Saccharomyces cerevisiae S288C: one gene and its partners. The gene in region 2 interacts genetically with the main gene of each other region. Each region holds a gene or a part of one and is shown on either strand. Other genes may lie near its edges.

Evidence for each region.
Region 1: mutations in YDR249C (region 2) and AIM45 together harm fitness more than expected from each alone (negative genetic interaction), as found in Saccharomyces cerevisiae (one large-scale study listed by BioGRID).
Region 3: mutations in YDR249C (region 2) and KNH1 impair growth when combined (synthetic growth defect), as found in Saccharomyces cerevisiae (one large-scale study listed by BioGRID).

The regions. Positions count from the first base shown.
Region 1 is NC_001148.4:563,477-567,143, forward strand, and holds AIM45 (Aim45p), read right to left. Parts: upstream 1,566-3,667; coding exon 531-1,565; downstream 1-530. Other genes in the region: YPR003C (uncharacterized protein), read right to left, coding at 1-292; HAL1 (Hal1p), read right to left, coding at 2,311-3,195. UniProt on the Saccharomyces cerevisiae protein: The electron transfer flavoprotein serves as a specific electron acceptor for several dehydrogenases, including five acyl-CoA dehydrogenases, glutaryl-CoA and sarcosine dehydrogenase.
Region 2 is NC_001136.10:958,067-961,407, reverse strand, and holds YDR249C (uncharacterized protein), read left to right. Parts: upstream 1-1,605; coding exon 1,606-2,727; downstream 2,728-3,341. Other genes in the region: PAM1 (Pam1p), read right to left, coding at 1-794; YDR248C (gluconokinase), read left to right, coding at 3,069-3,341.
Region 3 is NC_001136.10:364,526-367,889, forward strand, and holds KNH1 (Knh1p), read right to left. Parts: upstream 1,350-3,364; coding exon 543-1,349; downstream 1-542. Other genes in the region: tRNA maturation protein LHP1, read left to right, coding at 1-254; STP4 (Stp4p), read right to left, coding at 2,214-3,364. UniProt on the Saccharomyces cerevisiae protein: Involved in cell wall beta(1->6) glucan synthesis.

The DNA of each region.
Region 1 (3,667 bases), on a different chromosome or scaffold from region 2:
ACACTGTATTCTCATCAACGCTATCATTATTGTTCGTATTACTTGTATTACTTGTATTATTTGTATTATTTGTATTATTGGTGCATCCTGATCTTGAGTTGTTGGGTGGGGGTACCCCAGTAGTTGAATTAGATGCTGCAATATAGGTCCTGCCTCGATTGGATGAATCCTTATCATAATCAAAATTGTCCGAGAAAGTGTCACGCTGGTCGACTGATCTTTTGAATCTTGGTGGAGCGGTAGAGGAATATGACATCCTTCCACGCCCCAATAACGAATTATTTGATGTCATCCTATAATTGTTTCCGTAAGTTCTTGGAAATCACTAGGAAGTTTGTGGAGTTATTGTTCTCCTCATATTCTCCCATCTGGAAGAACTCTATTATTCCTTTGCCATTTCTCGTAGTCTTTTATATTTAGTCCGCTTTACACCGAAAAGGTCATTTTTAAAAAGGCAAGAGAACTAGGAAAAGTAAAACGTGCCCCCTTCAAAGCGAAGAGATGAATATATTTAGAAGTTAAGAATTTATTTATTTATATTTACCAAGTTTTTCAGTTAGTTCAGGGACTATTTTGTAAAGATCCCCTTGCAACCCATAGTCAGCGACATTAAATATAGGGGCATCAGGATCATTGTTAATGGCAACGATAACTTTCGAATCCTTCATTCCCGCTAAATGCTGAACTGCACCAGAAACGCCAATGGCTATATACAAATTTGGTGCGACTACCTTACCAGTCTGACCGATTTGTAGAGAATTATCACATAGTCCATTATCAACAGAAGCTCTTGTGGCACCTATAGCAGCGTGCAAAACATCTGCTAGCGGCGATAATAGCTTCTCAAATGTCTCCTTATCCTTGAGTGCCCTTCCACCAGTTACCACGTTCTGTGCAGAAGTAAGTTCAGGCCTTTCACTCTTGGTAAGAATAGTTTTAACCCAGGTAACATTTAAGTCACAAGGAGGAATATCAGTTCTCTTCTCAATGGTAACAGAATCCATACTACCCTCTGCAATTGGTGGAAAAGCTGATGCCCTAATAATCAACAGTTTTTTTTCTGCCTGGCATTCTATTGTAGAAATAATGTTACCTGCATAAATTGGCCTTATAAAGGTCTTAGGATCTTTGATTACAGTAACCTCACAAACAGGTTGGACGTCCAAGAGCGCACCCACCCGAGGTAAAACACTTTTTCCAACAGAGGAGTTTGAGACAACAAAATGTGAATAGTCGCCGCCTTTTAATAGTTTCACTAATAACGGAGTTAGTTGTTCGGGAAGACAGGTATCTAATTTTGAATCTTCAAATATGACAAGCTTTTCTAAATTGCTGCATGAATATGAAGATTTTAGCGCCTCAGCAGTTTTTTCAGCTTTGCTACCTGTGATTACAGCTGTGATAGGGTTAGACAACTTTTGTGCAGCAGCCAATAAACTCAATGATGACCTTGAAACAGAGCCATCTTTTGAGCTTTCAATGAAAGCTAAAGTGGAGGCGTAATTTTTCTGGAGGAACTTTGCCTTGCTAGCTCTAGGCAAGACAGCAGCCAATGATTTAAACATAGAAATTAACAATTAGCTGCTTTACCGTTAATGGTAGTAAATTATATCACTAGATTTTGTTTGTTGATTATTTTAATTGTTTTTAATTTTTAGTTAGTAGATTTTCGTTCGAGGCCCTAAAAATGTACCGAAAAGTCATAATAAACGGGCGGAGTCACATCGTAAGAGTAACATATACAATATGCGAGCAGACTTTGTCCATTAAGCCAAGTAACAACAAAAGAACCAAAAAAAGGAAAGTATCTCGTCTCTGTTGAGTAATTCTTATATCTTGCAAGATTTAATTCTCACTACTAATACGGAACTCAATCAAAGTGGCTTAATCCCAAGACATGCATTGAATACGGTATCATTGGCTGTTGACAGTTTAAGAAAAGTAGTTGTCACGTTCCTGAGGTTACTGGGGACAAGGGAAAGTAGATACTCGTCTTACGAAATTGGATATAGTTACTCTCTAATGCTCAATCCATGTAAAGCATGAATCATCTCAACAGAAAAATCTGGGAGAGCATATTTGCAACAAAAGAATCCAAATATCAGTATATAATTATATAAGTGAGCTAAGAAGTGAACAAAAGAAAAGGAAGAGGGGAAAAATTTTGGCTGGACTTGTAGAACGATAGAACGAAAGAGTCCAAGGGGGAAGTAATAAAGTTATTGAACGAAACAACAAAAATTCGATGGAGATATTAACAAATGCATAGCAGCGCAGCTAACCGACCCGAAGCTAGTACCAACGAATTTTTCAACTATTCTGTGTTGATTGTCTCCTTTGCAACACCGAGCTCTTCAGTATTCTCAGCTGAAAGTTATTATTGAAATCACGTTGGGGACTTTCATGATCTAGTGGTCTTGGTGAGTAGCATTTAATATTTTGACCATTGAAAGGGCATCTCTCAATTGGAGAAAGGCCACTCTTAGGGATAGGCGTTTTAACAATCTGTTTATGGGATGAATGATATATTTTTGAGGATGGATTCACGATACTGATATGTTTCCCGTCCGCATTATTCGGATATGTAGTGCCTTCTTTCGATAAAATAGATGCCAATCCTGGCGTATGCTTTGTTTCGATGACGGAGCTTACCAATTTTTCACTTCGTATTTTCGATGAGTTCTTATTTTTACATTTGACGTTCAATATTCCGACATACGTCTCTCTTTCTGAAATGTTGGAACTCTGTGGCCTTGGATTTGGTGTTTTTTCACCCGAAAAATTGTTGATAACTGCACTTTTCTTTGAGGTACTACTATTTATATCTTCCTGCTCTTTTGTTCCCCGCTTAAGATGTTTTGGATGGCAAGTTTCAATAAACTGCGGTTTTATTCCTGCTTCTGAAGAGGTGCCCGAGATGTGAACCTCATTTCCACCACTACCAGTATAAGTAAAGTAGTCCGTACCTTCTTTTCCAAAGTCATTTGAGGAATATACCAAAAAAACACCTTCCTTTACTTGAAAGCGATCCACGAATGGGAAAGTATCCCCTTCCGAAGTCACATCTGAGGGAACAAATTTTAAAACATATGAGATGTTGTTTTCATCCACGGCATCATAAAATTTACAGCAATTATTCTCATACATCAAGTTTTTGAGAGTGTAGTCATGCAATCCTAAATCTTTGAAATGCATCTGATCTATTTGTTTCTGTATTTCTCTTTTCTTGAGTTATATAAACGGAATGATTAGTAGTTTGGCAGAATTTATAGCAAGTATTAAATAGTTGAATACCTCAATATTCTCCATAATAAACGCCATATCGTACATAAAGGCTAAAACAAGAATGCCTGATACCGTTCTGCTTTTTGTTTTATCTTTCCCTATATTTTCTTTCCCTTTTGATGCTTTACGTAATTTTTCCCGGCATATGTGAGCTTCCTAATAGACTCTATTTTTATTTTTCCCTTTCAAAGTGCGAGAGAAATACACACAACCAGCCTACGCTTATTTTCACCCATACCGTCATACGCCATATGATATATAATGTGAAACAAACGCGGGGAAGAGCGCGACACGACAGCTTAGCAGGGGCATTCCACGCAACACCTGAAACTTTAAGTAAAACTGTTTCTGCGAGGATATCTTGGCAAAACAAACACTAACT
Region 2 (3,341 bases):
ATACCCATTTTTTTTATTATTAATAAGCTCTCGCCTAGTAAACCTGAAATAAGAGGTTTGGCCAAAACGTGGTCATCCAAGGTTGATGGATTCTTCTCTTCTAATATTATTAATAATGGATCGAAACATATTTGAGGCAAAGCTAGTTCCCATTCTTTTGCCAAGAAAGCGGAGGGAGAATGATCGTAAAGAGTCACAACGTCCCTAGGAAACAGTTTTTGGAACAATTTCTGAAATGTATTCAAAATAGGAATAATATCACTTGAATAGCTGTTTTCGTGAACGGATGTCGTTTGACCGATCGAAACAGAAAAGGATTTGGCATTTGCAGTCGTGAACTGTTTGTATGAGCCATTGTCCAACCGTCTTATGTCATAATCGGTGAAAATGCTGAAAATATTTGACAGCGAAAGATCAACTGAAGCCTTGATGAATGGCTCCAAATATATAAACCCGCTACTTTCAAATAGTATCTTTGTTGTCTTATTCATCATAGGTTTTATATCTCTCAATACCTGCGGGATTTCTTGCAGTGAAGACGCACTCATTATTATCAAGTCGAATACCAAGCCACCATTTTCATTATTAAGGTCTACTAAATCTAGGAGCGATTGGAAATGGTTTTGAATCTGAAACCGTTCCGTCCCATAAAATAGTGAACTAACCTCGTAGTTGGCATTTTTTGAGTTGTTCACAAGATAAAATTCTATATTTTTGGCATGTTGAAACCTGGATGTGTACAGAATGAGATTTGGGTGATCTCCGCATACCAAAACCCTTAATGCAGATGTCATTATTCAATATACCTATCGCGAGATATGCCGGGAATAAAATGTAGGAAACAAAAAGAAAAATATATGCACAGTAGTTCAAACAGAATAGAAATGACGGAGAGCAAATATTTGGGTAGAATCACAGACTTTAGTGTTGGTTACAAGCTTTTCGAATGGATGTAGTTTGTAATCAAAGGACACTAATAATAGCGAAAAAAAAAAGGGCAAGTATGTTGGCAGTCGCCTCTTTTTCAATTTAGCGGTAAGTTTTTAATGAATGGCCTGGTGATAATAGATATGAACAACTTCGCTATCGTGTATGCCAATATCACTTTTCTTTTCTACTACTTACTCGACTTTACTCTACCTTTTCATGTTTGTAGATTTCTGTTTCATTCTAGTCTCGAGAATGGCCCACAGCACGGCCAACAGGGGGCTGCGACAATTTCGCGTAGAGCCCATTGTGAAAAAAGCCACCCAAGCTATTATTGTACACAGAAGAATATGGAAGCAAATCGCCAGTGCTACGTGAATGGGACAAAAACATGATGCCTTGTTTAGTATTAGCATTTTAGATACGCCTTTTCAACTTCAAATTGTGCTATAGATAGGAAGATCTCTTTATTACGCAATATATGTTGTGTGTATTTAGGATAAGACTATATCGTCCAACCATACACCGCGTTTCATCTTGTCTTTTTTGCAGCTAGTAAGAATTAAGCATCAAGAATTGTTCAGTTTGCGATGAGTAATGAAATATATTTAAAGAGGACTAATGTTGTTAAAGTAAGCAGTGCTTTTTTCACGCAGTGTATTTTTAGAATAAGTGGCCATGGGTTATATTTTGACAGGATATTCTAGCCGTCATGATAAGAGAAAGAAACATGCACTTCCTTTGCATCGGTATGCATCGTCTTCGATAAACTTGCAGCACCATGTGCATCTCTTAGAGACCCGGGTTTCATCCAAGAGGCCAATATCGGAAGATCAAAGGACTATCAGGCTTCCTGCGAAGAAACTTAGGCATCATCAAAAGCTAACTTTGCAAGATTTACCTGTAGAGATTATTCAACATATTTTCGTTTTCACAAAGGGTGAACCGTCGATGGTCACCTTGAACAGGTTCTTCTATAGTTGCTTGAAGCCATCTTTTTCATTATTATCGAAGATCATGTGGGAAAAATATCTTTTCGATCCCCTGGAGTTTGGCGTAAGTAATATAAAAGCTTATTCAAGAAATATTGTGATCCCTACATTATTTGAGCATGAAACTTTTTTTAGACTACTACTAGATCATCATCCTATCCTGTTGAAAAATATTTCTCATTTTCTTCCCAGAAAGCACTATCAAGATATGCAGAATGGCGATTTTGATACATCTAAAGAGCTAGACTTGTGTTCAATGAACACTGAAGATACATCGAAAGAAGACTTCCCTAAAAACTTTTACAACAATATGCATATTTTTTTAACACGTAGGGAATGTGTGAAGTCTCTAGGTAATCATTTTACTTTGAAGAATCCATATGATGTGATATCCCCTTTTATAGAATGGTTTTTTCAAGGTATTGATATGCAAGGAACTGACCTAAGCCCTAAGTTTACCTTTGTTTCTCTATTTGAATCAATAGATTTAATCCTATACGTCTCTGGATCTACAGTGCAAAAACTAGCGTCTATTGAACCCCTTACGACTGTAATATTTTTATTATATTTCACGTATGCTGATTCACTAGGGAGTCTGAACTTTGAGTTTTTTTTGCAGAATAGATCAAGATTACAGCTCATAGAGAAATTTATCCTGAAATATTATTACAATCCATCATTGACAGAAAACGAACTTTTATCTGATAGCACTATATGGGACCTGTTAAGGCGGGTGTCTGATTTAAAACTCATAGATTTGGTCGTTAAATGCGGCGGAAGGCCTCAATACGGGGTTATGTTTGCATAATTAAATTACTTAGTATTAAGATTCTGCCCCTTGCATGCATGCACAATATGTGCTTGCCAATTCATTTATGTACAAAAGATGGTGTTATATAAGGAATATATTTTGTTTTCTTTGATATTTTCCCTTTCTCATATTCTTGCGGTTTTTCTGCTTTCATTACGTCGCTAATTAGTTTGTCAAAAATTATAACACCGTTAGTTTCCAAGCAATAATTATATAAGGTCCCGTTAAAAAATATCGATAATCAAAAGGTTTTCAAGTAGCAAGCAATAAATAGCTTTCCGAAGACTAAACAGGCTTTCATAGTGTCTCAGTAAGCGTATGGATGGACAACGCAGTTGATGACAGAGAAACACAAAACTATGGGGAAATTTAAGGTTATTGTATTGGCAGGTACTGCAGGTACAGGAAAATCAACCATTGCAGGTGAACTAATCCATGAATTTAAAGATATATACCCGGATTTGAAATTCATCGAAGGTGATGATTTACACCCGCCTGCCAACGTAGAAAAGATGACAAGAGGGATTCCATTAAATGACGACGACCGTTGGGACTGGTTGAAAAAAGTTGCCGTAGAATCTACAAAAGCTGCAGCAAGCACTAAGGAGCAT
Region 3 (3,364 bases), 590 kb from region 2:
ATTCCAATGACGATGAGTCCAACGAAATTTTGTCATATGAAGGTAAGAAACTGAGTGTTTTGACGAAAAAACAGTTTGATTTACAGAGAGAGGCCTCGAAGTCCAAAAACTTCAGCGGTAGATCAAGATCCTTTAACGGCCATAAGAAGAAAAACTTGCCTAAATTCCCCAAAAATAAGAAGAAAAACGGCAAGGAAGAGTCAAAAGAGGACTCTTCTGCCATTGCCGATGACGATGAGGAGCACAAGGAGTGATTCTTGTGTTTCTTCTGGTTCTCGTATCTCATTATCATAGCATATTAAGAATATATGTACTAACATATGTACTAAACAGAAACACAATATGAATTACAACTAATACTATATTATTTGTCTCCTTTTTTTATTAGTATTAAAAATTACCGTTACTGGTTAAAATGGAATACAGCTCATCCATTTAAAAAAAAAAAAAAATAGAATAACAATAATTAAGCAGAAAAAATGTTAACGAATATAATAAATCGATTTGTCCATTTTCATAAATTTTTTTTTTGTATTATTTCATTATCTGTGCCTCAAAGCATTAACTTTTCTTGCAGTCAGAGAGAGTCTCTTGCGTGGATTATACCAACCGCCATTATCAGCCGGCATAGGGGCCGGCGTAGCATAGTTACTATCAGCTGTAATTATGTATGACCACCCTGGTGTTACGGTAGTATGTTGATCAACGGAGTTTCTTAAAGTGTAGTAATACGTTACCTCACTGGTCGCGTACTTCCTTTTCCATGTCTTTGCTGTTACCTTAGTAGCCGGTTGGAGTTGCATGGGAGCATATTTCACAACACCTGTTTGTAAGTTGTAGGGAACGGTGAAACTCTTAGAATCAATCGTGGCACCCACATCTCCTGTGGTAATTCTTGTTTGTGCCTCTGGTGCAATGGTTATCATACTCGGATTAGCGGCTTTTGTACCAATCATCCCTTTTAGTTTAAATCTGTTAGTGTAATGAATGGTGTAACCGATAGCTGTTTGCGCAAAGACTTGTATGAAGTAAACACCGTCCGTCCCAACGGTGTTTTCTATTATCGCATTGAACTCGTTGTCTGTCAGATCACTCGCACTGAGTGTTTGAAGAGTAGCCATTGCTTCTATCATGGCATTGGTACCCGAACACAGAGTAAACGTGTATCTGACAAAATCCTTTTCCTGTGGTGTGTTATCTGTATGCATCCACTTTACTTTGACAACAGCCTGACTTGTACCAGATAAATCATAAACTGAGTTGGGTTCTGGAGCCACAATGGCCACATCACAATAAGCTGTTCGGAACACTACCGAACAAAATAATGTTAAGAATAATACTATCAGCATACGTTTTACGTAATTGATTTTTTATTATTGTTACCTACCTAAGAAGTCGACGTAATACTTGTATACTTTACTTTTTACTTCTGTGCAACTTTCATCGATACGTTTTTATAAATTTACGTAACTAACTACCTCATGTAATATTATACATGAACGAGCACATAATGTCCAATGTCCCTTACATGTTCGTACTTTCAAAAAAGAAAGAAGAAAATTGGTGAAGAGGAAATGTGCTTTTCTGTTGGAGTTGGTCAACAATATGATGAGGAAGAAGGGAAAGCCGCAAAGACTGGATTTACGCAATGGACTACATTCTCATGTGAAAAAAAGAAGTGCTGCTTCGAAGGTTCGCGACCCTTTCAAGGGACTCGCCGCGATGCAGAGAAAAAAAAAAGAAGAGATAACGTGGGGGCAGCTAAAAAAAGACGAATCGATAATGAGTCCATGACTTGAGCCGGACGGACTTATAATTCGATTCGGGCCTAGGCTTGTACAGCTGAAATAGTGTACAATATAAGGAACTAAACGATCGGAGACCAATCGGAGAGCCGGCAGTTGAATCAGGTGCTTCATCACTGGCATAACCTATCCGCAAACGGCTGATGCAGGTCTCAACGCCCTTCTGGTAAAATCAAAAAAAGTAAAAAAAACGGCTCATGCCAGCTTGCTTCCTGTCAATAGCGGTTGTTGATTTTTTCGCTTCATGCCTAAAAAGAGAAACGAGACACAGAGAGAAAACAAGAATCTAGATTAATAACGTAGGGCAGCGTAACAATAATTTACGCAGAAATGATGTGTATTATTAGGGCATAAATAAATAAATGTATGTATGTGTGTGTATGTATGAGTCGGTGAATGACTTTGGTTTTAGTGATATGAGTAGCCACATCCTTTCCCCACGTGCTTATTTAGCCAGACGTCAACGTTCGGAAATTGCAGTCCACAATGCTTGCACTTCCCCGGCACAACACCTCTATCTTCTTTCTTGGTCTTGGGCGGGTACTCGAAATGCAAAGCCTTTAGGTGATTCTTGAAAGTATCACAGCGCGAAAAAACGCCCGTTTGATGACAGTTTATTGGCTCGAAATAGAGTGATCTAGACTTGTGTGGATACACCTCCATATCCAAATTGATCAGAGTAGAGTTGTAAGGACACTTGAATGCACCTTTAATCTTGTATAGTGATTTCAATTGGTTTTTCTTCAGTAGTTTTGTTTCTTCGGAAGAGGATGAGGCAGCGAGTTTATCGTTTGAGTCGTCGCTGTCGTTGTTTGCGGAGGTGCGGGCAGTGTCATCTTGATCGTCAGCACCACTATTGTTGTCGGACTCCCTTGCGTATATTTGCATAAATTCATCTTTCCAATGGCGCTTCTTGTGCCTTATCAGATCATTGTTCCTGGCAAAGCCGCGTTGACAGATAGGGCACTTATGCGGTCTGTCCTCCGGAGTTAAATGAGTGGATTTATGCGTAGATAGGTTGGCGTAGAAGTTGTGGCAGATGGGGCATTCCTTTTTCTTTCTTTGCTTCGTTATCTTGGCGGAATCCTTTAAAGACGATGAATACCTGCTTGTATGTTCATTAGTCAATGGGGAATGAATAGACGGTAGTGCAGAGGCACTACTACTACTGTTGAGTTGCTGTTGCTGTTGTTGTTTGACGATCAAAGGTGGGAATCCACTAACGGGTAGGCTGGACACGGATTTTGATCTCGGTACGTTATCTACCGCGGTTGGCAATATACTCTGGTGTTGAGTTGGTGGTGAGGGGGTGATGGTTTTGAAACCCGTTGTGTTGTTAGGGTTGCAAAATGTTAGCTCATGTCTGTGATGATCTAGCACTGTTCTTGGCACCGGTGATGTAAAATTGGCATGCAAGGAATTTGATCTGCCGTTAAATTCTCTTTCTGCAACTGTAATTAAATTGGTGAAGGAGGATATGGGTGGCAAAATGACATGGCTTGAGCTGTTGGATGACAGCGGTGTTGGAGAAAGGCTATGAGGGAAATAGCATTTGGAAT